Tamandua tetradactyla: one gene and its partners. The protein of the gene in region 4 interacts with the protein of the main gene of each other region in a pairwise test. Links are inferred from orthologs where the notes say so. Each region holds a gene or a part of one and is shown on either strand. Other genes may lie near its edges.

Region 1 (4,956 bases), on a different chromosome or scaffold from region 4:
TCACCCCACGGCTCTCCCTCCTGGGGATAAGCCTGCACCCCCAGCTCCTGGCTGATGGGGCCATGAGGGTGGGGAAGAAACGGTCCAGCGTGATCCCCGAGGAAACTGTGGGTCTTGAGGTGGCTGAAAGACGGGGGAAAAGGGCCAATCTTGAAGGACTTGGGCGGGAGAGTCCCAGCCAGCCTGGCTTACTGTCCCCAGCGAACACAGTGAGTTCCTCCAGGTGTAAGGATCCAGGAGTCCCACGAGGAATCGAGTCCCGTGGCTGAGACGTCGAAGAGACAGGGCCAGCAGGCCCCGGGAAGAACTGAAGCTCCAAGGACTTCAGCACAGAAGGAGCCACGGGGCTGGGAGGTTCGAGGATGGCAGGCCTGGCCCCACTCCCCACCCAGGGCAGACGCCTGGGTTTCCGCGATCCAAAGGGGAGAAATTCCAAAGGGCAGTTGTGCGGATGGGGGAGAGTTCGGGGGGCACTGCAGGAAGGGTTGGAGGGGTGGGTTGTGGTCATGTCCCCATCCTCAGCGCTTGACCTTGCGGCCGGCAGAGTTGCGTCCGCTGCGGCGGTAGAGGGACTGCTGGCCACCGTTGAGGGGGCAGTACTTGAGCGTGTGGGCCTGGCCACCGGTGGCCCCGCACAGGGGACACACGTAGTGACGCAGGATAGGACACACCACCACGCCCTCCGGCGTCTTCAGCTGGTGGGAGGAGTAGACGTGGCGCGACTCGCCGTTGTGCTTGCAGAAGTTGCACAGGGTGGCCAGGCCCCCGCCGGCCCCTGGCCCTCCCGGCCCCTCTTGCCGCCCCAGCTGGGGCCCAGGGCTTGGCTCACCAACCCCTTGGGCCTCTGGCTGTTGCCCCCGACTTCGGATCACCTCCAGCAGCACCTGGCTCAGGTTGAAGTAGTCCCTCCACATGTTGAAGGCGGGCAGCTGCATGGTGCTGGGGGGGGTGGGGCGTAGGCTGGGGTGGGTGGCTGGAGAGGGGCCGGGGGTTGGGGGCCGGTGGGCAGGAACAGCAGGCGTCTTGTGGAGCTGAGAGGAGCTGCACCCCCTTTTATACTCCCCAGAGACCCTTCTAAACAAAGGTGGAGCTTAGGATTTAAAGAGCCCACTCCCAACCCATGGGCCCCATCGGATTCTAATCCCCCACCGAGATCTGGCAGGGGGTTATCCTCCCAGTCTCTGTCCCCAGCTCTGCCTCCTGGATGCTGTGACCCCCAGCAAGCCCCTCCCCCTCCCCAGGTCTCAGTTTCCCTGTCCGTTCATGAAGGTCCTTATCTGCAAATGCCCCCTTCGCCCCTACCCTCCCTTCTTCCCAGGTTGGGGGGCAGCTCCCTTCACATATCTACGGCCTTTCCCATAATAACAGCGCTCCTTTACTAAGGGCCAGATGCTGTGCTGCAGGTACCCACATGCTCTAATTCTCTCAACAACTGCGGTCAGAATGGCAATCAGAAATGCCGTTATTACCTCCATTTTATAGATGTGTTAACTGAAGCTCAGAGAGGGCCCAAAGTCACACAGCGTGCAAGTGGCAGAGCCCGGACTCCAACCCAGGTCTGTGGAAGCCCAAAGCAAGTGTGCCTTCTACTGCTTTTGAATTAAAGTCTTTTCTTTCATTACATCTTGAACAAAGAGGCATTCATTCATTGCATATATACCCAGTGCATACTTTGGTGCTCAGTGATTTATAAATGTGATCTCTTTGAACCTCACAAGCACTCAAGGAGGGGGGCACTATCGGTTTCATTTTACTGGGGATATGAGGCTCAGAGAGGTTAGGGGATGCACTCAAGGTCACACAGCTGGGTAATGGCAGAGTTGGGATTTGCACCCGAGTCTGACTCCAGAGATGCTCAGGGAATGTCTTAGAAGCTTTGGAGGTCTGTAGCATCATGCATTCTCACTTAGGACACACCTCGCTCCTTGGTCCCATCCATTGCCGCAAATCCTTCCTGGCCTTCAGGACCAAAGTCAGTGTGTTGCCTCTTGCCCATCCCCACCTCCAGGGACTCTCCCTCCACCAGTGACCTCCCTTGGTTGCCTTGACCATTCAGCACGTAGCTCTCGAGGCCTCCCCTGTGCTGGATGCTGGGAAGCTCAACCATCCAAGGCCAAGGCTAGCCCACATAGACTTCCTGAGTCCCCAGTCCAGCGGGGAGGAGCCACGAGAGAACAAGAGAACAACAGATGCAAAGGCCCAGTTACCTGTAAGCTTGGAGAGAGGCTGGGCTGGGGAGGGGGTGACCCAGAAGCTGGGACCACAAGGGAGAATCTTCCAGAAAGAGAAACATAGACGTAGGAACAACAAGGAGGCTGGGGGTTGGGGGGGGGAGGGGCAGAGCAGAATGAGCGTCCTGAAATGAGGCCAGAACCATTTGTAGAAGCTGAATCCCGTTGGACCGTGCATCTCCCTTAGGGGTGGTGTGGAAATGGGTACATTTGGGGTTTGCCGTAGTTGTTGGAGGCAGCGGCTAGATTTAGTGGGCAGGGACGCCAGATATTCCAATGGCCCTCACAACCCAGAATCTGAGCTACAAAGGATTATCCCTATCATCAGGTCCAGCTCACCCCATTTCTTATTTTACAGGTGTGAAAACCAAGGCCCCAAGATGGTATTCTGGGTTCACACATGCACCAAACACCATTATTAGAGTCCTGGTGTGTAAAGGCACAGCCACGGTCCTGTGGTGGCTGCGAGGTTTTATGCCTGCTCAGGAGTCCTTTTTCCTAAAGAGGTGAGTTAGACCCCTCTGTTCTATTCATATTAGGGTCACTGGATCAAGTGGAGGGAGACAGAGGGGTGACTGGAGCATGAACAAGCCCACAGTTTGTTGGCAGGCAGCACAGTGTTTTTTGGTTCCAGCATGTTCCTGCCATCTGCTTGCTGGATGGCCGCAGGGTTATTTAACCTCTCTGAGCCTCAGTTGCCTCATCTATCAGGTGAGGGTGATGCCAGCACATGCCTCAGAGCGGGATGGCCATTGTGAATAGGAAACCCTAAGCACAGAGCTTGGTCCCTGCGAGGTACCCATTAAATATTAGCTATAGCAATTCCCGTAGTTGGTATAGACCCAAAGAACTGAATAGAGGGACACAAACAGAGACTTTTCATCAGTGTCCATCGTAGCATTATTCCCATTAGCCAGAAGGTGGAAACAACCCACGTGTCTATCAACAGATAAATGGGTAAGCAAAATGCGATCTATCCTTACAATGGAACACTAATCAGCAATAAAAAGGAATAAAATCCTAAATACAACTACGTGATGATATTGCGAGTCATTGATTATATACTAAGAATGGAATATTCATATGTTAAGAGTGTTCATGTTATGTTTTGTCAATAAAAATATTTAAAAAAAAGAGAGAGAAATTAAGTCCTGGCACATGATACCCCATGTTTATTTAAATCTGAAAGACTTCACGTTGAGTGAAAGAAGCCAGACACAAAAGGATGAATGCTGTATGTTTTCATGTTCATGCAGTATCGCGAATAGGCAAATTCATAGAGTCAGAAAGTAGATTCGAGGTTACTGGGGGATGAGGCAAAGGGGATGGGGAGTTATCGTTTAATGGGTGTGGAGTTTCTGTTTGGGTTGGTGACAGATTTTGTCAATTGCTAGTGGTGATGGTTGCACAACCTCGCGAATTAATGTCACTGAATTGCATGCTTCAAGTGGTCAAAATGGCAAATTTTATGTTGCATATATTTTGCTGCTATCAAAAAAAAAAGTTAGCTAGGACAATTCAGACACAATTAAGGCAAAAAAATCATACCGGCGCTTATTTATAGATACCAAGCAGGGGCCCTCTCCCTGTGACATGAATTTGAATCCTCAAGGGAGGGTCCCACTTTACAGATGAGGAATGGGAGGCTCAGGGAGGCTGAGGGCCACATCCAAGGCCATCCGGCTAGTAAACTGGAGCTTGGAACTTGAACCCAGGATTACCTGACCCCGATCCAGGATGTCCCTTCTGTCCCTTGCCAGGAGGCACGCAAACCTGCTGAGTGGAGAGCCCGCCTAAGTGGTCTGCCGAAAGCAGGAGAGGCTGTGGTTAGATTGTGGAGGGACTTCCCAGCTAGAAGGGTAGTGAGATGGGAAACCGGGAGGGATGGGGCAAACTGAGCCAACAACTTTGCTTGGAGAGAATAAGTAAGGCCTGTTGGCCATGGATGCACTAGACCTAATTGAAAGCAGAAGAGATTGCGGTGTCCTGTGGAACAAGGCTCCTGGAGGGGGCGCCAGGAGGCTGCGGGGACGGGGAGCGGGGGATGCTACATGCAAATCACAGCTGAGTCCATCTGCTTGGGAGGGTTGAGACTGGAGGGTGTGTCACAGCCTTCCCTGGGCCACCGATGCAGTGTGGCATCATCTACTGGACGTCTGAGAATGACGCAAGGACAGGCGAGGGTTTCAACCATCCCAACTAGTATTTGAAGAGTCCCAGATTCTGCTTTGTGCAACTCTGTTGTTGTTGTTTTCTTTCCCTTTTTTCCTCATTATTTATTTATTTTTCCCCTCCACTGTTTTCTATTAGGATTCTATTATTTGGGATGCGGCTCCTTTCCCTCCACTAGCTGGTGTTGTTTTCGTGCCTGAGCCCTGAGGCTGTCTCCCAGATGCTGGCCCTGGCCGGGGTCTGCCTGCTGCTGTGTCTTGAGGGGAAGGCCCAGGAGATACTGATAGGAAATTCATCAGCCGTCTTGTTTACTTCACCATGAACCCCAGCTCCAGCCCACCCCCGGACCACAGCCCCTGTGGGCCCACCAGACTCCACAGCTGCCCTGTTTACTTGTCAATTTCCTTCCCAGTGGTGGCAGAAAACAGCCCTGGGAGGGGTGCAGGGAAGGCTGCGGAGGGTGGGGTGGGGGGGGTAGGTCAGGAGGAGAGAGACCCTGGAAAAGAGGAGGAAGAGTCACAGAAAATGGTGACAGGGACTCAGAGGGGCTGAG
Region 2 (7,201 bases), on a different chromosome or scaffold from region 4:
ACTGGAGCCTTAATTTTCTCATTTGTAAAATAAAAGCCACATGATGTGCAACTAAAGTTCTTTTTCCTATCTAACATTATATGAAGCTAAATAGTTAATTGATAGTTAATAGATTTGAAATAAATATACAGTTGAGAAAAGCCAAATACATCATTTCCCAATAGTTATAAACTCATCATCAGTGAAAGAAGGCATCTGTATTTGTTATGCATTCAAAAAATTCATAATATAACAAAAGGTATTACACACCAACTGACAATTCTTTTCCTTAATAATAGCAATATTAAGGAATAATAATAATAATATATTATATATATGATAATCATATATCATAATAATAATAGCAATATTATTAAGGAAAACCAATAATAGCAATGAAAATATAAAAATCTGTATAAAAATTTTTATAAAACTTTAAAATTTGAAATACTTTTATACTTACAGGACAATTACAAAAATAATACCAATCACATACAGAGAACTCTAACATATCCCTATCTCCCCAGATACCCAGATCTACCAATTTTAACATTTGCCAATTTGCTATTCCATTCTAGCTATCTATCCTTTATTCTATCAACCCTTCTATGTATCTATCCACCTATCTATCAATCCATTTTCTGAATACCTACTTGAATGTAGATGTATACATCATGCTCCTTGAACCCATAATGCTGCCATGTACAGTTCCTAAGAACAAGGATATTCATTTTATAATCACCTTGAGTGCAGTTGTCAAGTTCAAGAAATTTAATGTTGATATAACATATTCTATGTTCTGCTTGATTCCCTCTCCCACAGTGTTTTCTGTAGGAGAGCTTGGTGAGCTGCCTTCTGCACACAGGACAAGTTCTGGGACAGCAAGTGCCTCTGGCCACCACCAGACAGATTGGGTCAGACATACAGGTTCCCAATATGTGCATGAAGGTTACTATTCTCCCTCTGGAATGTGGACCAGGGATTCACACTGGGAACACCGGTGGCTCTGCAGTAAACTGGTCATGGGATTGGGCTGGAACCAGCTAGGACACCCCTTTTAACTACACTTTTTCTTGATCCAGCACTTGCCCTGTTCATGCAGTCCTTTAAATGTTTCTGGAGCTTTGAGAAAGATGTTTCTGTCAGTTCTTGCCAGTTGCTCAAAGCTGTCGGGGTACAGAGCCACGAAGTGTCTCACTCTGCCATCTTGATTGAGGTGGGGCCTCCAAAAACAATTTTTTAAATGAACTTGTAAAATAATGGGAAGAAAAGTTGCTGTATGAGTACAGGGCATTGGCCTATACTGAGAAAGACTGTTCTATATACTTTACATAAATTAACTCATTTATTTAGTCTTTATAATAACCATATGAGAAAGGTGCTAATGTATCTTTTAAGAAATTTTTTATTGTGGTTAACAGGTATAAAACAAAATTTCCCATCTTAACTGTTTCAAGCATACAATTCAGTGGTGTTATTACATTCACAGTGTTGCATTACCATTACCACCATGTATTACTAAAAGTTTTCCATCACCCCAAACAGAAACTCTGTGCCCATTAAGCATGTATCTCCATCCACCACCCTCACTCCAACCCTGGAAGCTCATAACCTACTTTCTATATGATTTTGCGTATTCTAGCTAGTTCATACATGTGAGATTATACTATATTTGTCCTTTTGTGTCTGGTTTATTTCACTTGACACATTAATGAATTCTCCATTTTACATGCAAGTAAAGTACAAGTCAGGCAATTTATTAGCCCAAGGTCAACTATCCAGTAAAGTGACAAACTAAGTTTTAAACGCAATCTGGCTTCAGAAGCTCTCTGCTTAACCACTGCAATATGCTGATTTTGTTACTGGTTTCTCTATCAGAGATTTTCAACATTGAAAACACATGTCATCCAGATATTCCCTGAAGCTAGCTTTCCTTGAGAGGTTATCATTCCAGTTAACTATGGCTCTGTAAAAATCTACCCAAAACTTATGGTGTAAAACAACTATTTTATTATGATCATGGATTCCATGGGTCAAGAAATAAGACAGGGTACAGTTGGGATAACTTTCTTCTGCTCCATGTTGACTAAGACCGCATCTGGGAAGATTCAAAGACTGGAAGTGATTTGACAGCGAACTGAAATCTTCTGAAGGTTCTTTGCCTGACAGTTGGTGCTGGACCCTTTGGCATTTCCATATAACTGTTGAGATTTCCTCACAGGATAGTGGCTGAGTTCCAAAAGTGAATGTCCCAAGTGAATAAGGGGGAAGCAGTATTGTCTTTTATGACTGAGCCTTAGATGACAGAATTGTTTCCATCTTAGTCTGCAAGCTTACTCTAATTCATAAGAAGCAAAAACTTCAACTCTTAATGGGAGGTGTGTCAAAATCACATTGTAAGAAGAGCCTGTGGAATGGGAGAAATTGGTGTGGGGGGATGTTTTTAGAAGATCCAAGTTTCCGCCAAACTTATCCACTTAGCAGTAGCAGCTACATATTGGGAGAAGAACAGAATGGATGCTGGGGAAGAAACTACAATGTCGTACACTACAAATAAGTCTCAGGGCAGCCTTGCTTCTGTTAAGAGTTGTTCATGTTTGTGCTAGTCTCTCTCATGGGTTGAAAGTTCTTTGGTGGCAGGAGAGCTATAATACATTTTATTCATCTTTCTATTCCTCAAAGCTCCTAGTCCACAGTAATTTTAACTTAGTATCTGTTATACAATATGAAAGAGTCTAAGGAGAATAAACTAAGAGCAAGAATAAGCCAAGTTATGATCCCAAAGTTAATGGTAGAGAGCCAGAATTAGAACTTATTCTAGACACTATTTATTCCTTTATTTGTTAAACAATACGAGCCAATTTTTTAGTCATTAGGCATTAGTTCAGTGGGTTAAAAAAAAACTTTTTAAGATAAAAGTTTTAAACAATAATTTTTTATTATAATATAATAATTTCACAAACACCTACATAATTATTAGGGAGAAATGTTATGAAGTAAAAGTTCAGGGTAATATGAGAGATCGTTAAGAGAGATTTGAATTAAAAAGGGGGATGGGTTTTGGGGAAGGTCTTTCTGAGGAAGGGACATTTAAACTTAGATATGAAGGATGAAGAGGAGGTAAAGAGGCTAGGAGAGAGAGAATGGGAAATTATTCTTGGCCCAGGGATCAGCATTCAGAGATATGAAAACATGGGGAATAAAGTCTTATGGAGAAAAGTGAAAGAGATGCAACGTTGGAGAGAAGGGAGTGAGAAGAGGCAGTGGGTAGGAGCCCCCAGATTAAACAGGGCCTTATACATTAGATTAAGAGTTTTAAAGTCTTTTCCTGGGTGGGTTCCACCAACCTCTTCAAGGAAATCTGAATCCTGGACTCGGTCCTGAGACTCTTCTGACCAGCTTGACTCAGCATCTTCTTAGTTTCTCATCCTCGATCAGCATTTTAGGAGTGCCATCTAGCTTCCTCCCAACTACGCTGCCCAGGCATTTAATTCTTTCCTAGCTATCTGATTTCCCTGACCCCTCAGCTTTCTATCAGGGCTCTTCTGAGTGCACTCTTATTTCACTGCCCCCGCTCTTCTCAACTTCGCAGTCCGTGACATTCATTGCCCTTCAGAGTCATAAAGAATCAGCCAAGTAAGAACTCTGAAAATATTGGCAATTTAAAGCGGTCGCACCAATTCTGCACCATTAGATCATAACAATAGCTTACTCAACACCCATCCTTAGATTGTACCGCCACTACTACTCTGGGGGATGGTTTTATTTGTAGCTGTGTCTTCTATCCACAGTCCCGTGTGGAAGGGCACCGTAGGAATTTATCCGAAATACTCCTGTCACGAGTCCTTTCCACCTCTCCGGCACTTCCTCAGGCCAGACTCTTAACCCCGCGGGTAACGCTGCAGTCGGCGACCGCGCTTCAGGAAGTCGGCACCGGCCTCCGCGAAGGGGAAGGAAAGAACAACGAGGGGCTGAGGAGGACAAGACGAAAGAATGGGAAGGGGTGAGGAAAACGGAAAGGGTGCGGGAGAGGGCGGGAGCCAGCCCAAGGCCAACGGAGCGCGCCGCAGCGCGGGAGGAAGACGCGGGCGGAAGGTGGCCAGTCTGGGTGGGCAGAGGCTACCGGGAGGGGCGGGGCCGCGGGCGCTGGGGGCGGAGCTCCTGCGCCGGTCACGTGACGGGACCGGCGGCGGCGGCGGCGGCGGCTGTAGCGGCCGCGGCGTCTTTAGCGGCGCCCAGTGCAGGATGGTGCTTGAGGCAGCGGCGGCGGCCGTGGTGGCGGCGGCGTCGTTAGCGGCAGCGGGGGCTGTGGCGGTAACAGCGGCGGCGCCCGCGGATGGTATAAAATGGCGGATTTCGAGGAGTTGAGGGTAAGCGGGGCCGCGGAGTAGAGAGCGGAGGCCGCGGGGGAGGGGAGGCTGCAACGTCGCCGGCCGCCGCCTTCTTATTTCGCGGGCACCGGTTGGCGGAGTCCCTAGCCCCGAATCCCAGCCGGCGTCCGAGCAGTGCCGAGTGGGCGGGGGAGGTGAGCGAGTCCGTGGGGGACGCCGGGCCGTACGGGGGCGGTGGGCCTGGGGCCGAGGGCTAGCCGGTCCGCGCGTCCTACCAGCGGCTCCGCACACCTGGCACTGGGGCCTGGGCACCCCTCCGGGAGTGGCACGTGGGAATCTGACCTCCCCATTTAATTTAAGGGCCGAGGTGGGAAGCATTATTTCATTTTCCATCTTCTCAAGGGGTGGACGTGTCTGTGGCGAGTAAGTCTACGTGCTCCTCACTTGGTGGAAGACTGTTTTCTGAAAGGTGAAGTTGTTCTTAGGAATTATTCTCTTCTTTCATGGTTAATGCTACCGTTCAGTCAGGTCTGTCCCAAGAAAAGGCTCCTACCCCTTTCCAGTATTTCCTCAGCATGTGAGAGAAGCGTGGTCTTTTGGTTACTCTACCGTCAACAGTCGGCCTTAAACCTTGATATATGGCTAGTGGCGCTGGAAGAAATTCGAAAGTCTGTGTTGTGAGGTTTGTCAGTGAACTGAACTCACTTTGCTCTTGAGGAAGCAATTTATTTTCCTCCTGGCTTTATCACAAAGTAATGTACTTTATTGTTGATATCTTTATGTAGTTGAGGTTTGAATTGGGGTGCGATGGGGTTAGGACGGAAAAATAAGTATTTTTTCCCCAGAACGAAATATTCGGTGTCCTTAACTGAATCAAACTAAGTGTGATAAACGAGCCGGATTTATTTTTTTATGAGCACTGGAACTGGCGACATAAATGGGAAATTTAATGGAAACCATATTTAAAAAATTGTCTTTCAAAGTAGAGATGAATGTCAACTTGAAATTAAGTTAACTGCAGACAATTTGTGTAACATAGCCTTTAGGATATTAGGTTACTTTTTTGGAGTAAGAAGAAAGGGGAACGAAGTAAAAGATTCAGTTTTGTGTGTTTGTTATTATTTTTGGTCGAGGTATACTGTGGAGGAAGGAGCGTTGGGTCATTTGTTACCTGGCTAGTATAGTATAGTAATGGACACAAGCAAAAGAAACATGCTCATGGTTCTGATCTAAAGGAAGATTCTTATAGTTTATATAATGCCTGCCATTTTATCCTTCTGCTGTTTCAAATCACTTAGTTCCCAGTATGGAGAAAAAGTATATTTATGCATTTTGTGCCCTAGCTTATGGAGGACCATGATCATAGGCAAAGGTGTTCATATTGATAATCTAAGGGTTTTAGTGTCTCAGAATCCCAGCTGTGGTGCTTTTGACACCTGTGGAGTGTTTGAAACAACCAGGCTTGAGCTTCCTCTGTAAATTCATGTTTTAGGTTTTGGATGGGTTTCAAAGACTGAACTTTGAAGTTAAATTTATTTTTACTTGCAAGACTGTCTTAATTTTTGCATATTGGCAGATGTATACAGTTTTTCCTCTTCAAAGTTTTGTGTTGATGAAAGTTTTCCAGAACTTGTATTAGATTTTTATAAATATCGTCTGTCAAAGTTTAACAAAATGTGGAGAATTTATTTACTAGCACAGGGCAGAATGTGTGGTCACTGTTTAGGTTGGAGTTCAACCAGAAACTGAAAGGTGGTTGGAAACCAAAGAACCTTTTTCTCTCTCTTCTCTCCCATTTTGTTTTGTGGGTCAGTTTCATTCTTCTCTTCTTGTAAATCAGCTGTCTTTACTTCTCCCTGTATAAAAGGCCCCCTCCCACACAGTTTACTTCAGACCAATGGAGACTAACTGGTGAGAGTTTTCAGAGTAGAAGGTCTGGGCTCACCATCCTAGTATTTGCTGCTCAGTGTAGATCGGTTTTCCCCTCCATTCAAAGATGAATTGGGGCGGTGCGACGTGACAGTGGCTCCATGGCAGAATTCTCACCTGCCATACCGGAGACCCTGGTTTGACTCCTGGTGCCTGCCCATGCGAAAACAAAACAAAACAAAACAAAACAAAAAACGTAAAGATGAATTGTACCCCCTCCCTTACCCCAGTTGTGAATAGTCATCTTTTTCACAGTGGTAGAGTGATATCCCAAGATGTTTTCTTAAGCCAGTAGTGCTGGTGATGTATGAAAATGGCAGATACATACTGTCATATAATGCTTATTATGTGCCAGGCTGTGGCCTAGGCACTTCACATATACATACTCAATTCAATTCTCACAATTCTATGAGGATGTTGAGCCATGGGAGAGATTAAATAACCTAACCAAGGTCAAATAGCTCAAGCTGGAACTTTGAACCTTAGAGGTTTAGCTGTAGAGTTTGTGCTCTTCAGAATCTTAGCTATACTGCTTTGTTCATTTTCCTTCATGTTAAATAAGAGTTCCTAGTCATCCTACAATCTGTGGACTAAATTAAATGATAACTAAGCACTATTCTTCTTTTATGATATATAATAGTGGAGGAAAAACAGGGCAATTGATGGAAAAACTAATTAGAACAGAAGAAACATACAGAACTGGATGACCCCTGGTCCAGAATATATTATGATAGTCAGTGATAGTCAAGTTAATTATAGACCAGCAAAAATCATGGGCATTAGTTTATTGGCTAACTTCTTGGCAGTGAGGAAATGATTAGTCCTTCTGGCTGCCACATATTTGGCAGCTAGTTTTGCAGCTGAGAGGATTTCCCTTATGCTTGTCCATTATCCTTCAGGGCCACTCCCTAGGGGTCTGTATAACCAAAACAGTTTGCATCTGGTTTTATTGCCGTGTCCTC
Region 3 (7,064 bases), on a different chromosome or scaffold from region 4:
GAACAGCCATGCAGAGGGCTGAAAGGAGGTCAGGTCTGTTTGGAACCAGGTCCCTAACCACATGATGGAAGGTGATGGATAAACATGGCTGGAAGACCACACACAGTCTAGGATGAAAGACTCATATGCTATGGATAAGGAGAAGGAGGCTCAGAAAGGGCTAGGAACTGGCCAAGATCACACAGCAGGTCAGAGCCAGAACCAGAAACCTGCCTAAAAAGAGGGCATATGCTAAAGGGGCCCCTCTTGGCCATTTCTTGCTTGGAAGCATGGGATGCCGGCTCACCTCTCTTCAGCCACTATGACTTCATCCAACTCATGGGACAGCTTCTGGAGATGCTGAATTCCTGCCCCCACAGGCTCTAGGTCACTGTCAGACTCACTGAACAGAAGGAGAAGGCACACGTCAGTGAGTAGTCGGAACCCAGTAGCCCTTCCCAACCCAGCACTGGGGCCTGGTCTAAGGGCAGCAGATGAATGATGGGGGCCAGGAACCCTCACTCTAGACCAACACCTACGGATGAATTTGGAACACCTGGCAGAAAACAGGGAGATCAAAGCCCCTGGGACCAAGGTCACGGGCTGGTGAGCTCTGCTGTCTCCTGGGAAGCTTGGGTGAATGTGGTCTAACCAGAGCTAAGCTCACCTCTTCTTTTTACAGATGGAACTGAGGCCTTAAGGACTTCCCAGGTCCCCTCATAGTGGAGGCAGAGCTGCCAAAACATGGATTTGACTCAGCTCCAGGTGCCCTGGTTTCCTGGGTGGCCCTGGGAGGTGGCCATGGGAGGTGTTCAGAACCCCCTTGGGTCCAGTTAGTCTTTTGCTAACCAAGGAGTAAGAATCATGCTGAGGCTCAGACCCGCCAGCCCGGGGCAAGGGGCGGCCCCACTTACCTGGGGGAGCAGAGGGGCTCTGTTGAAGAGCACGGGCTCCAGAAGGCAGCCTCTCTCCTTGACCGCCGTTGTGGGTGGGCACGTAGGTTCATCTGGACAGAGAGGCTGTGACTCTTCCTCTCCCAGGGGCCCAGGGCTGAGCGGGCAGGGGCAGCCCCAGACAGCCTGGTGCTCTTCTGGCTCCGGCTGCCGGGTGGGGTGCTGCTGGCCTTCTGTGGCCCTCTCTTCCCCGTTCTGGCTTTCACCTGGGTTTCTACCAGCCACTTGGTGCTACTTTGGCAGGACTCTTGGATTCTCTGTGACAGATACATGGAAAGGAACAGACAAAGCCAACGGGGAGCTTCCGCCAGGTCTCCAGGCCATACCTCCAACCCCGAGCCTACCAGCTGTCCCACAGGCTGCTTTTAGTCTCGGGGTGAGGAATGCGGGTGACACCCTGTGAAATGACTCTGCGGTAGGGACCTAGTTGAGTCCCTGGGGAGTTAGCAGGAGCCCTCTTTGACTCTTAAGAGCCTCCGTTTGTCTAAGTCCAAACCCTCTTTTGAGATTCAGGGGAAAGGCCAGAGATGACCAGGCCCTGGACGCTAGGAGATGGTTTGTTTTTCTGCCTCTGGTCTCGCTCGCCCTAATCCATCACCCACATTGGTCCCCAGGGAGATCCTTCTAAAGGGTAGTTCTCACCATGACACCTGGGTGCCCAGGGTCCTTTGTGGCCCCTCACTGCCCACAGGATCAAACCCTAGCTCTCGGCCCTGGCATTCAACGGAAGTGGGGAGAGGTTGTGATGGCTGTTGGCTCTTCATTGGCTGGACTGCCCAGAGTCCAGAGGTTTGAGCAAAACTAGTGAGTCTTGTGACCTCATTTCATTTCTCTGATCCCTGGAGGTGGCAGCAAGGATCCCAGGGTTCTTCCAGATAAAGGCTAACACTAGGCTCAGAGACTTCTCTGCAAAGGGTCTAGAAATGGTTCCCTTCTCCCTACATCTTCAGAATCCTCTACCAGACACCAAGGGGACCCCGCTCCTTGGAGGTCTCCTTACTCTCATAGCTTCTGTCCCTTCTAGGTGACAGCTCCAGCCTCAGGTTTGAAGACGTGTCTGCTTGGAAAAGTCACACGGGCCCCTCACACCCAATATAGTCTTCACACAGTCTCCATTCTTGTGGGCGCCTTGAGGACAGGCACCGTGTAGCACCAAGGAAGCCCTCCTATAAAGGGATGGTCAGGACTGTCGGTCTTACCTGGGACATAGCACCCAAGGCGCTCTTGGCTGAGCGAGCAGCAGCCTGCAGACCCTGTTGCCCTGGCTCTGGGATTTCCAGGCGTTTCCAAGAGGGGCCAGCCCCGAGGTTAAGGCTGACGGTCCCCAGGGGCAGCCTCCTTTGTAACTGTTTGCACAGGGAGCCCAGGGCCCTGGAGGTCTCTGGATGGCTGACTGCAGGCTGCAGCACGTTGCTCTCCCCAGGCTGCAGCGCCTCACTCTCCCCAGGCTGCTCTTGGTCCTGGCGGAATCTCCAGCGCTTGGAGGCCCCCAGGCCCTGCCACCGAGAGGCCATCTGCCGGGCCAAGTCTCTGCTCTGCCCGCCAGATCCTGGGGAGGAGGTCAAAAGGCAAGTTGGCAAGGCGGCCCACGCCCCAGGCTCCACAGGGACCGTGGGCACAGGGAAGAGACAGGTTGGAGGCCCATGGGGTGGGGGCAGGAAGGACGGTGTTCCTTGGAAGAGGGGTCAGCAAGACCCAGAAGAGAGAAGAGGCTGAACAAGGATGGTCAGCATTTCCTGCAGCCCCTCCTTTCAAATCTTCCAAAGGGCTGCGCTTTTACTCCGGCATCCATCCCGCTCTCCACCGGAGTCAGGACCTGCCCGCGCGGACCCTCAGCCCCCGGCCCAGCCCGCCGCTTCCTGACCAACGCTCTCGGGCCCAAACCCCGGCCCGCGGACCGACGTCCCCCCTTTCTACTGGACGCTTGCAATATCCAGACCCCCTCCCCTCCTCCATACCGGGCCTGTCCCCGCTGGACGCTGCGCCCACCCCGGCTCCCGTGCGCAGAGGCCCGGCTCGGGCCCGGCCCCCACTCACCCGACAGCGTCCTCCGCCGACCCGCAGCCGAGCCCGGCCGCCCCCTCCACTGCCAGCGGATTTGAAACTCCGCGCGGGTCCGCCCCGGGCGCGCTCCTCGCAGCCCATTGGCCGCCTCCGCGGCCGCGCGGGGCCCCGATTGGCCGCCTCCTCTCTCGGCGGCGAGCCCCGCTCTCGGATTGGCCCTGTCGTCCCCATTCATCTCGCCGGATCCCAACCCCCGCCTGCCCCCTCCCCAAGTTCTCCCCGCTTTGTTTCGGTCCATCCCGCCCCCTCCGCGGCCAGAACCCGCACCCCCCACCCCACCCCGCCCCCTCGCCGGCCCAGTCCCCGCGCCACCTCCTGGACGCTCGGGCCCCTCCCTAGAACCTGCCGAGTGTTCGGGGCTTCAGATTGGTCAAAGTGGGCCTGGGGATGGCCGGGTGGGGGTGGCCGGGTGGGGGTTCCGGGCACGGAGGAGACCCAGGGTTTGGCGGCCTCGAGTTCCAGGCCCTTCAGCCGGTAGCTTCAGCCAACCCGGGTCAACGAGGGCCCCTCCCACCCCGCCCTAGACGTCTGGCGTTCTCTTCTCGCTTGCTCAGTGGTTTGCCAGAAAGACACAGGGGCAGGGGCTTCGGAGCCCCAGGTTCCCACAGGGATTTTGCCTCAAATTGCCCTCATGACCCCCTCCCTTAGCGAGTCAAGGCATGCCCCCCCCCCCCACCGCGTTCTCCAAACTCTCCACCCACCCTCTGACCCCAAGGCTACCCCTCCTGCATTGGGACAGACCCAGAGTCGCTCCCTGTGAGCCGCTCTTCCTGCCCACTCCCCGTTAGCCTTGCCCCACTGACTCGCCCCTCTCTGCAGTGTCGGGTCCACCCCTTCCCGTCGGCATCCAAACAAGCTAAAGAATCTCCTGTTTAAAAAGCTTTTCCCCGCCTGTCTCCCTCTTTTGCAGGATCTCAGGGGAGCACCTGCCCCCTCCCCCTTGACTTCCTTTCTGTCACCTTTGCCTCACTGCAGTCTATTTGACTCCATGAGGACACGGATAGAGAGGTTAGGATGGGTCCATGTTTCCCTCAGCTAACGTGGACAGAGCCAAGGATTCAAACTTGGGCAGTCTGGGAACAGAGGCCATGTGTTTGCCCAGCGCGCCACACCGCCTCTCCTCAGCCCCTCCCAGCCCCCTCCTGGAGCCCCCCTCCCCCCAGCGCTGCAGGTGCCTTAAACCAACACGTCCCAAGGAAACGTGGGCTCCCCCTCCCCCCCCTCCTCTTCCCTCATGCTCCCCTCGCCTCTCCAAAGAATACCTCGGGGGTGCCTGTGATAGGATCAGCGCTGTGCTAAAACTGGGCTACCCAGGTCAAGGAAATGTATTCCTTACCCCCTGGAACTCAAACTCTAGTGTGTGTGGGAGAGATGGACATCAATTAATCAAATAACCAATAATTAATCAAACAATCGCATGGAAGTTCGCTCACATAAAGTTGAGGCAAAGAATGTGTTTGTGTGGGAGGGTGACATGGGGTGGGGAAGTCTCCCTAGACGGGGGCAGGGCACTTTCAAGGGGGCAGCACCCACTGTGAGAAGCCCAGCACATGTGCTCACGTACAACGGGAGCTAAAGTTTCATGAAAAAAACCCTTTACTGTGTGTGATTTGCTCTGATATTTTATGTTCTAGTTCAATTAAATAAATAATGGTTATGACTTTACTAAATTTGTTTTCCGATGACTCACGGAGGGGTCGTGATCTGTGATTTGAAAAACACTGCCCTAGTTTGCCTCTTCACGCTGCTCCCCTTCCGTGAGTTGTTTGCCAAGAGTCAGAAGTGTCTGCTCCCAAAGCTCTTTATGCCAGTTGAACTTGCTATTATCATTAGGGAATTTAATTCATGTCAGTTACTAGTGACATAAGAGGGGAGAAAGAAAGAGTCGTTTCTGTGTAAACTAAGTTGAAAAAGTGTGAGAAGGACTCAGTGGGGGTGAGACACTTAGGAACAAAATCTCTCGGATTAGACTGGCACAGTTGCCTCCCTAGGGCCTACTATATGTTCTAGAATCTCAATAATAAGAGCTTATAGATTTCTGGACCCTTACCAATTTTACAGATGAGGAAAGTGAGGTTCAGACAGGTGAAGTGTCTTGCTGAAGGTTGTAAAACGAACCAGTAAGGGTCAGAGCAGGAACTTACCCCCTGGATTGTCTGACTCTGAAACCTGTATTCCTGACATTTTATTACACAGCCTCATTCAATGTCCAAAATGAGCACGTGTGTGAAGAGGCGTACCTTCCACCCGGGGCTCTCCCCCACTTCCCTCACTCACCATCACAGCTGGCAGGCCAGATTCGGGGAAAGCAGTCTCCATAGAAACTGGGGAAGGGGGAAGAAGCCTTTCCTTTTGAATGAGAAGGCTTTCCCTATTGTCTTGAGGATGTGCTGAGGAAAGTGGGTTCCTATTTGAGATGCAAGGACCAAGTCTCCTGCTCCTTCTTGCAAGGAGGAGAAAACAGTCAGTTCTTACTTTTGCCTCCATTAGGAAGGGGGAGGGAGGACGAAGGAGGCTCTTCAGCCCAGTCCCTGGGGGCCCCCTGTCACCAGCAAAACTTTCACCAGTTTCCTTGACCGCATGGAACGGCCAGTGTGAAGGAAGAGACAGATGCATTATCATAAACAACTGCAATTCTGCAAAATGCCATGACTGAAAAGTGATAGGGGGCAATGAGGGGGTGTAAGGGGGCAGGACCCTGACCTGAGCTGGGGGTCAGCACGGGCTTCCCTGAGCATGTGGTACGCTAACTGAGGAGTAGCGGCAACAAAGCCAGGGGGACAGGGTTTCAGATACAGGGGTGTGCGGTGGCCAGAGATGGGAGTCCAGAGCCCTGCCGAGTTCCAGAACCCGGAGAAGCTGAGCCTGGCTGAGCAAAAGAGTGAGGGCTGAGGGGTTGGGAAGGGGTAGCAAGAGGCAGAGGATGAGCCTGCCGTGCTCTGTAGAGCAGGGAAGTTTGGAATTTTATCCTGAGGCCATTGGGAAACCTTTGCTAAATTCTACGAGAGGAGTGGGTTATGACTAAGCTCTGTAAGGCGGCTGGCTTGGGAGCCATGTGGATACAGGGGGGGTGGCGGGGTGGGGTGGGGTGGGAGGCTGTGACCTGAGCTGAGGCCCAGCCCAGCAGGGGACCCCATTCTTCTTAGTAGTGAAGCAACCAAGCCTGAATTCCCGCTGGCATCAGCTTCAACAACCTCTCCTGCCCCCCAGCCAACCAGCGGCCCATCCCGTGGTTCTCCCTTTGAAGTATCTCTGTAATGTCTGTGCCCTTTGACCTTTCTATTACGGGAAACCATTCATTAGCAGTGGGAGAGTTTTAAGCAGTGGGAGACATGATCAGAACTTTTGCCTTCTATTGTGAACTATAGCACTCAGAAAAAAAGGCATTAAACAAGTAAAGTATAGTGAATACTTCTAAAGCAAACACCCAGGTAACCATCATCACCCAGGTCAAGAAACAGAACATTGATAGACCTCAGAAGCAGCCCCCACTCCCACCCTGCTGTGTGTCACAACCCCCCACCCAAAGAAACCCATGGGAACTTTTTTGCTAACAATTCATTTTATTTTGTAATGTCACCATCTATGTATCCATGTTATCTCCGACGTATGCAGACTCCTCTAGGCTGCTGTGTGGCTGAAGAAAGGGTGGCACGGAGGAGGGAAGGGTCTCCCTACCCCTCACCCTTATGCCCTGCCTTCTGGACAGGAGACTGGGCTGGTGGGGGTCTGAGCACTCAGGGAGGGCTTCCTGGAGGAGGCCTGGTTTGGCTGAATCAGTTAGCCCAGACTTCACTTCCTCTATGCCAATGGCTCCTCACTCTCAGGGGTGCTGGGTTTTGGGGTCCCACTCACTGTCCCTGGGAGGCCTTGCAACTTGCTGGAGAAGGAGGAGGGGAGAAGTCGATTTTTCCATTTCACCATTGGGGAAACGAGAGCCAGGACCCAGACACCCAAGGCCACTGGAGACAGTAAACAAAAGGTGTGGTCAGCCTTTGAACTCAGGTCTATATGGCTCCTAGCCCAGGGTCCTTTCTTCTGCCTCATGGCAAGGACTTGTATCCCTTC
Region 4 (7,954 bases):
TAGCCCCGAAGATCCACGGCATGTTTCAATTTATAATTTTGTCAAGGCATGAATCTACAGGAGAGCTGGAGGCTACTTAACTAATGGGAGCTCAGCAAGTGGGTATGATGCAATATGGCAGAGGAGAGTAGGAATGGCTTGGTCCTGGGTATGGGGCTGAGATCCAGCTATGTTGGTTAGCATGCGCTAGAGAGGGAAGAGCCACTGAGAAGAACTAAAAGCCAAGTTATGCAAGGGAGGAGAGAAAGTGAGCTACAGGGAACACTGTGTACCTTAGCATAACTGCTCATTTCCAAAGGTCACTTGTGTTATTAAATTGATCTTTGATGGCATTTTATAGGGGAAAGTTATATGCAAAAATTGGGGCAATGGTAAAAGTTTAAGGATTAACTTGTTATATTAGCAAAGATCTAGTCTATAAACTGAATGCTTCTGTGCACACAGTGGCTTACCCTGATCCTTAGGAAGCGAATAGTACACTGCAGTTATTGCCTCGATAGCAGCACGGACTTGTTCACAGCACATCTGAGCTTTCTTTAAGGTGAGGAACCAATTTCAGGATGAAAAAAGGAAATGGATTAGATAGATAAATGTGGTCAATCTTTCTACTGTGGAAGAGAGCAGCTATCTGTACAGCATCATCAAACATTTTCTGAGTCCTACTATAAGGAAGGTCTTGTGCTATACTCCTTACATACCAGAGAAGAATTAGATACCAGATACTAGGCTGATAATGCAATAAAACATTAAGAAACAGCAAGAAAAATATATTCCTGATATTGTATATCACAAAACAGTAATGATCTATTATGACGTATTTACCATATCTTATGCCAGGAGTTGGCAAACTAAAGCCAATGGAATAAATTAGGCCCATGCCAGTTTTTTTTAAATAAAGTGTTATATGGAACATGCCATGCTCATTCATTTACTTATTGTTTACAGTTAATCCACTACTAGATTAGAGTTGAAGAGTTGGCATACAAAGTCTAAAATACTTACTCTCTACCCCTTTTCAGAAAAAGATTGCCAATTCCTATGTGAGAACATTAGTGCTGTCCTCTCTATTTTAAAAAAGAGAATCACAATATATTTCTAAAGATAATTAGCATGGATTCAACAAATACTTAATATTGACTATTTTTCTTCTAATCAGTCTTAGGCTTTTTCTTCTTTAACCTCATCTAAATTCTAAATTCTTTATGCCATATACAAAAGTTAACTCAAAATAGATCAACAACTTGCTGAATCATTATATTGTTATTTCTTTTAGTCTCTACTGTATTAGAGCAACTAGAATTAAAAACCTAAAATTGTGGAATTGTAACCCATTCCAAACAAGGAAATCTGTTCTACAATTGTTGCGCTGTGCTTTGAAATTTATTGCTTTTTTGTATATATGTCATTTTTCACAAAAAAAGAAAAACAAAGTCAATTGTGATGATGAAAAAGTATTTTTTCCTTCTAGCCTGCAATGTTCTGGAGCAGCTAGAAGGAAAAATCTGAGATGATGGTATGGTAACCCATAACTAACTCTAACTACTTGTTGAAGAATGCTTTGGAAACTATTGCTTTTTTCTTTCTTAGCTTTATATATATGTTATTTTATACAATAAAATTTTTTTAAAAAATAGATCAACAACCTAATTTTAAGAGCTAAAACTATAAAACTCTAATTGAATATAAAAATACACAGCATAGCAGAAAGGGTGTAGCTGAGACATTAGACAGACCCTAATTTAAATCCTAGCTCCACTATTAAATTACCATAACCTGATCCTTTAAGTCTGCTTGCTCATCTGCCAAATGGGGATCACGTATGTAAAAACACCTAGCAAAAAACAAGTGCTTAAAAAAGTTATCAGGAAAAAAAGAGCCAGGCTGAACTTCAGATTGAACCAATTATTTAGAAGACCTAATGCTAAATATTGCGCATGGAAATTTACATGTTAACATACTGAGTCTTCACTACAGTTTTGTGAGGAAGAACTGTAATGCCAATTGACAGATGAGGAAAACAAATCCCCTGCTTTACTGTAAAACATAGAACGAAAATGTGAGGGTTTCTAGATAATAATGTAGCAGTACAAAACCACGAAAAGTAAAGCCCACCTGTGGAGACGGCAATGGAAGTCGAGAGACTACAGTCAGATTAGTGGCTTCCCTTGACACATTTTCAGCTGCCTCATCTGGAGGGAGTAGGGGGAATTTGGGGTGACAGAGGAAGAGGAGGGAGCCAATGTTAGTGCTAATGGATAAGGCTGCAGCTGCTGCTCGGACTTGAAAGATAATGAATTCCCTCTCCACCCTTTACGTGTTGAGGTTTCTTAAAAACACCTCCAAAATTCACCATTTTATAATTAACTTCAAACTCTCACTTGTGGAGGCTGAGTAATGTGAGGTTCCCACCCACAGTGAGAATTCAGCGAGAAAGAGACAGTCATCTCCGTGGGGAAGAGAGGATGGGAACAGCATGCGGATGCAGCTCAAGCTGGAGGAAGGCCCATGGACAAAAGCGATAGGCAAGGGAATGGGGGGAGGTTCCGCAGCGAGAACAGCACTCACTGAGTCTTTTCCAAAACTTCTCCCGATTAAACTCCTCTGTGGTCTCCCAGGCTTCGCCGACTTGTGTGTGTAGTGTGTGCAGGCCAAGCGGTGGCGAAAGGAAAAGCTGACGTTAAGTGGAGCCATCTCCGGCCCCCCACCACCTCTGCACGATCTGGGTCCCCCGCCGCAGCCTGTCTCCCACCCAAACCCGCCTCTGCCGTGTCCCTTTCTAACTGCAACGACCTCAACTCACCCCGCACTCGTGTCATGAGCAACCGCAGCTCCACTGCCAAGTTCTGGAGCTGCTCCAAAGGTGGATCAGGGTTGGGTACCGTGGCTGCAGGTACAGCTGTGCTCGCCATCGCTGTCTCACCTTTGAACGCCACAAATACCGCCGCGGCCCCAGGAAGTGCCGCACTGCGGAAACCGCACCACTCCACTTCCGGGGACCACGGACCCGGGTTGACTTCCGGCAACAAACTGTCCCGCCCCGCCCCAGAAACTAGACCACGCCCCTCGTAGCCACAGGCCTCCTCCCGCCTTCAGAGACCATGAAATTGCTTACTCATTCATTCATTTATTTGATTAGCTGAAAACACCCCCGACTGAGGAAGCAGAGAATCCATAACCCTGAGGGCAAACAGGTCTGGGAGCAAATTTCTCAAGGATAGTCAGGATAGGGCCCCAAGGCTACACTGGTTCACTGTCCTTAAAATGGCACCCTTGCCAGCTACGTGCCAGGCTCTGTGCTAGGTGTTTCATATGGGGTAACCCAGAAAACATACTGGGCCTTAGCTACTCCCATTTACAAACCCAGTCCCTGCACTGTGCATCTCCGAGATTAGGGCTTTCTCTTCACAAAGGTAAATCAATCCTTTGCCTCCTTGGGGAAGGAAGGAATCACACATTATTTAGAGACTTGCCTCTAGTCCATTCTGCAAGAAACAGTAGTGGGTAATCTCTCCAACTCTGGACTTCCAAGGAGCAGCAGCTTCCTGAAGCTTACCCACCAACTGGCCTTCCACCTGCTGCTGGGGCACGTCCTGCACTATAGAGGCAGAAACTGGAGCTTGGTCCAGCTGCTACTGGTAAGACATGGCCTTTAGGAGCTCAGGTGGCTTTTTAACAGCACCACAAAGGTTCCAAGCTCAGTGGAGTTCAATGTCCACACACAACGAATGAGAAGAGGTGTCAGCAGTGTCAACCAGGTCCACAAAGGAGAGAAGAAAAAAGCTAGGGTGCCATATGTCACATGAAGAAAGTAGCAGGAATAAGCCTGCCAGATGTACAGCAGTAGCATAAGTAGGTGAACAGGTATAATTTTCAAGTATTTTCCTTGGTGGAGATGAGATCTGAAGTTGTAACCAAAGCACCGTTGCAATAAGCTCCAACACAGATAAGCCATCAAAGGGATGTTAAAAAACACCAGCTGGAAGCAGAAGCAGAACAGAATTAAGTTACCACATAGCCCTTGGAAGTGCTGGGTCTCATAGATATATTATAGGTGGATCCTAAGAATATGTATAGCTCTGATTCTTTCTGCTTTGATCACAGTTGCTTATAACAAAACAGTTGGCTTATACTTCGTTGTGTGTTTGCCTGTGTCCTCTTGTTCACTCAAATCTCCAACTTGTAGTACAGTGTGACACAGCATCTGCTATAATAGAGTTTAAGTTGAAACTGAGTTTTGCAGAGGAGGGGAGAGGAGAGGCTTAGATATCAGTATTTCTGTTTGAGGCAGCATGATGAGTGAGCACTCTTCTGATTTGTATTCCAATACAAATTTAGCAGCTATATGGTTTATTCATTCATTCAACAAATATTTATTGAGCCCCCATTATGTAATAGGTAGTATGCTAGGCTCTAGGCTAGGAACACATTGGTGAAAAAGTCAGAAAATGAACTATCATAGCACTTACATTCTAACAAGGAGAAGAAATAAAAAAAAAGAACCCGCCCCTCACAAAAAAATAGTTAAAAGGTAAATGCAAAAAGAAAAAGAAAAAAAAAAAGATAATTCTGATAAGTTTAATGAGGGAAATAACTGGGTCAGGAGAGAATAACCAGGGTATGGCCTCCCTGAGAACTGAAAGATGGAAATGAGTCAATGAAGGGAAGTGCATTCTAAGTAGAAGGAACAAATGAAAAGCCCAGAGGTGAAAGTGCCCTGAGCTCTTTAAGCCCAATGAACCTGGAGCATGATAAGCCAGGTGGAGACTGGGGTAGTCAGCAGGACTGAGTTCATGCTCTGCTTAAAGGGTTTCAAGCTGAGAAGTGAGTGAGCTGATTAAGATTTCAAAAATATCATACTGGATGCTTTGTGGTGAACTGACAGTTTGGGTCTAGTGTAGCAGTGAGAAGAAGCATTTAGGGAACTATTTGGAGTAGTTTAGGCAAGAAATAATTATGACTTAGGCTAAGGTGGTGTAGTATTTAGGTTCAAGTGTCAATTTGGCCAAGTGAAGATGCCTAGTTTTGTTGCTATGGACATAAGCTAATGGCATGTGAAGCTCATTTGTTTCTGATTACATCTGCAGTTGGCTAGGAGGTGTGCCTGCTGCAATGAATGATATTTAACTGGCTGGAAGCTTAAATGGGAGACCTCAACCTAGCACAGCCCAAGCAGCTCAGTATACCTCATCTCAGCACTCCCAGCTCAGCACTCCCAGCTCAGTCCAGGCCTTTGGAGATGCAGAAAGAAATTACCACAGGGAAAGTTGTTGGAACCCAGAAGCCTGGAAGGAAGACCAGCAGCAATCGCCCTGTGCCTTCCCGTGTAAGAAAGAACCTCAGTTGAAAGTTAGCTGCCTTTCCTCTGAAGAACTATACGTTTTTAACTAAATAAATCCCCTTTTATTAAAAGCCAATCCATCGAAATCGGGGAGGCGGGGCCAAGATGGCGGCTTAGTAAGGTACGTGCGTCTTAGTTCCTCCTCCAAAACAACTACTAGGTGAACTGAAACAGTGCAGAACAGCTCCCGGGGCTACGGCAGGGAATGGACACACAGCGTACCCCAGTCTGGACTGGCTAGTCTGACTGCGAGACTTGGCTGCGGTGAGATCCCCGAGCGGCGTGCGATTTCCCGAGCAGCAGCAGCTGCGGCGGCCGGAGCTACACCCTCCCTCCTTCCCGGGCCAGCTGAGAGTCTCGGAGAGGCAAGTTTCCCAAGCCGAGGTGGCCGGCGCCCCTCTTTTGCGGGCGGCTTCCTGGTCCGGCTACGAGTCTCGGATCAGAGGGCTATCCAAGCCGCGGTGGCCCTCCCCCGCGGGCGGCTTCCTGGTCCGGTGGGGAATTCCCCAGGCTGCAGCGGCCGGTGACCGACGCCCCTCCCCAGAGGGTGACTTCCTGGTCCCGTGGTGAATTCCCCGGGCCCGCTGCGGCCGGCGACCAGCCACAGGGTCTCCTCAAGCCGCGGCGGCTGACGCCCCCACCACGCGCGGCCCCCCGAACCAACGGAGAGAATTGGATCGGAAATCCCCAGGCCGCGGAGATCGGTGACCGGGGGATCCATTCCAAACACGTGAGACAAACGTGTGCCACGAGCGCCACCTACTGGGCAGGATAAGAAAAACAGAACCCAGAGATTTCACAGAAAAATCTTACAACCTTGTTGGGTCAGACACCCAGGGAAATCGGACTAAATGCCCAGACGCCAGCAGCAGAAGATAACAGTCCACACTCAGAAGATTGAGAATATGGCCCAGTCAAAGGAACAAACCAATAGTTCAAATGAGATACAAGAGCTGAGACAACTAATGCTGAATATACGAACAGAAATGGAAAACCTCTTCAAAAATGAAATTGATAAATTGAGGGAGGACATGAAGAGGACCTGGGCTGAACATAAAGAAGAAATAGAAAAACTGAAAAAACAAATCACAGAACTTATGGAAGTGAAGGATAAAGTAGAAAAGATGGAAAAAACAATGGATACCTACATTGATAGATTTAAAGAGACAGAAGATAGAATTAGTGATTTGGAGGATGGAACATCTGAATTCCAAAAAGAAACAGAAACTATCGGGAAAAGAATGGAAAAATTTGAACAGGGTATCAGGGAACTCAAGGACAATATGAACCGCACAAATATACATGTTGTGGGTGTCCCAGAAGGAGAAGAGAAGGGAAAAGGAGGAGAAAAACTAATGGAAGAAATTATCACTGAAAATTTCCCAACTCTTATGAAAGACCTAAAATTACAGATCCAAGAAGTGCAGCGCACCCCAAAGAGATTAGAAAGAAATAGGCGTTCTCCAAGACACTTACTAGTTAGAATGTCAGAGGTCAAAGAGAAAGAGAGGATCTGGAAAGCAGCAAGAGAAAAACAATCCATCACATACAAGGGAAACCCAATAAGACTATGTGTAGATTTCTCAGCAGAAACCATGGAAGCTAGAAGACAGTGGGATGATATATTTAAATTACTAAAAGAGAAAAACTGCCAACCAAGACTCCTATATCCAGCAAAATTATCCTTCAAAAATGAGGGAGAAATTAAAACATTCTCAGACAAAAAGTCACTGAGAGAATATGTGACCAAGAGACCAGCTCTGCAAGAAATACTAAAGGGAGCACTAGAGTCAGATACAAAAAGACAGAAGAGAGAGGTATGGAGAAGAGTGTAGAAAGAAGGAAAATCAGATATGATATATATAATACAAAAGGCAAAATGGTAGAGGGAAATATTATCCAAACAGTAATAACACTAAATGTCAATGGACTGAATTCCCCAATCAAAAGACATAGATTGGCAGAATGGATTAAAAAACAGGATCCTTCTATATGCTGTCTACAGGAAACACATCTTAGACCCAAAGATAAACATAGGTTGAAAGTGAAAGGTTGGGAAAAGATATTTCATGCAAATAACAACCAGAAAAGAGCAGGAGTGGCTACACTAATATCCAACAAATTAGACTTCAAATGTAAAACAGTTAAAAGAGACAAAGAAGGACACTATATACTAATAAAAGGAACAATTAAACAAGAAGACATAACAATCATAAATATTTACGCACCGAACCAGAATGCCCCAAAATACGTGAGGAATACACTGCAAACACTGAAAAGGGAAATAGACTCATATACCATAATAGTTGGAGACTTCAATTCACCACTCTCATCAATGGACAGAACATCTAGACAGAGGATCAATAAAGAAATAGAGAATCTGAATGTTACCATAAATGAGCTAGACTTAACAGACATTTATAGGACATTACATCCCACAACAGCAGGATACACCTTTTTCTCAAGTGCTCATGAATCATTCTCAAAGATAGACCATATGCTGGGTCACAAAGCAAGTTTTAACAAATTTAAAAAGATTGAAATCATACACAACACTTTCTCGGATCATAAAGGAATGAAGTTGGAAATCAATAATAGGTAGAGTGCCAGAAAATT

What was found.
Region 1: the proteins of CCNDBP1 (region 4) and NANOS2 interact in binary tests that used the Homo sapiens proteins (3 or more experiments, as listed by UniProt). The two-hybrid records come from large-scale screens. The link is inferred for Tamandua tetradactyla from reciprocal best matches to the Homo sapiens genes CCNDBP1 and NANOS2.
Region 2: the proteins of CCNDBP1 (region 4) and PIAS2 interact in binary tests that used the Homo sapiens proteins (3 or more experiments, as listed by UniProt). The two-hybrid records come from large-scale screens. The link is inferred for Tamandua tetradactyla from reciprocal best matches to the Homo sapiens genes CCNDBP1 and PIAS2.
Region 3: the proteins of CCNDBP1 (region 4) and PIMREG interact in binary tests that used the Homo sapiens proteins (3 or more experiments, as listed by UniProt). The two-hybrid records come from large-scale screens. The link is inferred for Tamandua tetradactyla from reciprocal best matches to the Homo sapiens genes CCNDBP1 and PIMREG.

Annotation. Positions count from the first base shown.
Region 1 is NC_135342.1:15,163,743-15,168,698, reverse strand, and holds NANOS2 (nanos homolog 2), read right to left. Parts: upstream 936-4,956; coding exon 519-935; downstream 1-518. UniProt on the Homo sapiens protein: Plays a key role in the sexual differentiation of germ cells by promoting the male fate but suppressing the female fate. Represses the female fate pathways by suppressing meiosis, which in turn results in the promotion of the male fate.
Region 2 is NC_135344.1:36,265,630-36,272,830, forward strand, and holds the start of PIAS2 (E3 SUMO-protein ligase PIAS2), read left to right. Parts: upstream 1-4,177; 5' UTR 4,178-4,325; coding exon 4,326-4,349; intron 4,350-7,201. UniProt on the Homo sapiens protein: Functions as an E3-type small ubiquitin-like modifier (SUMO) ligase, stabilizing the interaction between UBE2I and the substrate, and as a SUMO-tethering factor.
Region 3 is NC_135332.1:59,057,402-59,064,465, forward strand, and holds the start of PIMREG (protein PIMREG), read right to left. Parts: upstream 3,018-7,064; 5' UTR 2,970-3,017; intron 2,482-2,969; 5' UTR 2,447-2,481; coding exon 2,132-2,446; intron 1,190-2,131; coding exon 894-1,189; intron 383-893; coding exon 287-382; intron 1-286. UniProt on the Homo sapiens protein: During mitosis, may play a role in the control of metaphase-to-anaphase transition.
Region 4 is NC_135340.1:57,391,584-57,399,537, reverse strand, and holds the start of CCNDBP1 (cyclin-D1-binding protein 1), read right to left. Parts: upstream 3,024-7,954; 5' UTR 2,910-3,023; coding exon 2,801-2,909; intron 2,626-2,800; coding exon 2,566-2,625; intron 2,190-2,565; coding exon 2,113-2,189; intron 535-2,112; coding exon 453-534; intron 1-452. Other genes in the region: TMEM62 (transmembrane protein 62), read right to left, coding at 3,650-3,976. UniProt on the Homo sapiens protein: May negatively regulate cell cycle progression. May act at least in part via inhibition of the cyclin-D1/CDK4 complex, thereby preventing phosphorylation of RB1 and blocking E2F-dependent transcription.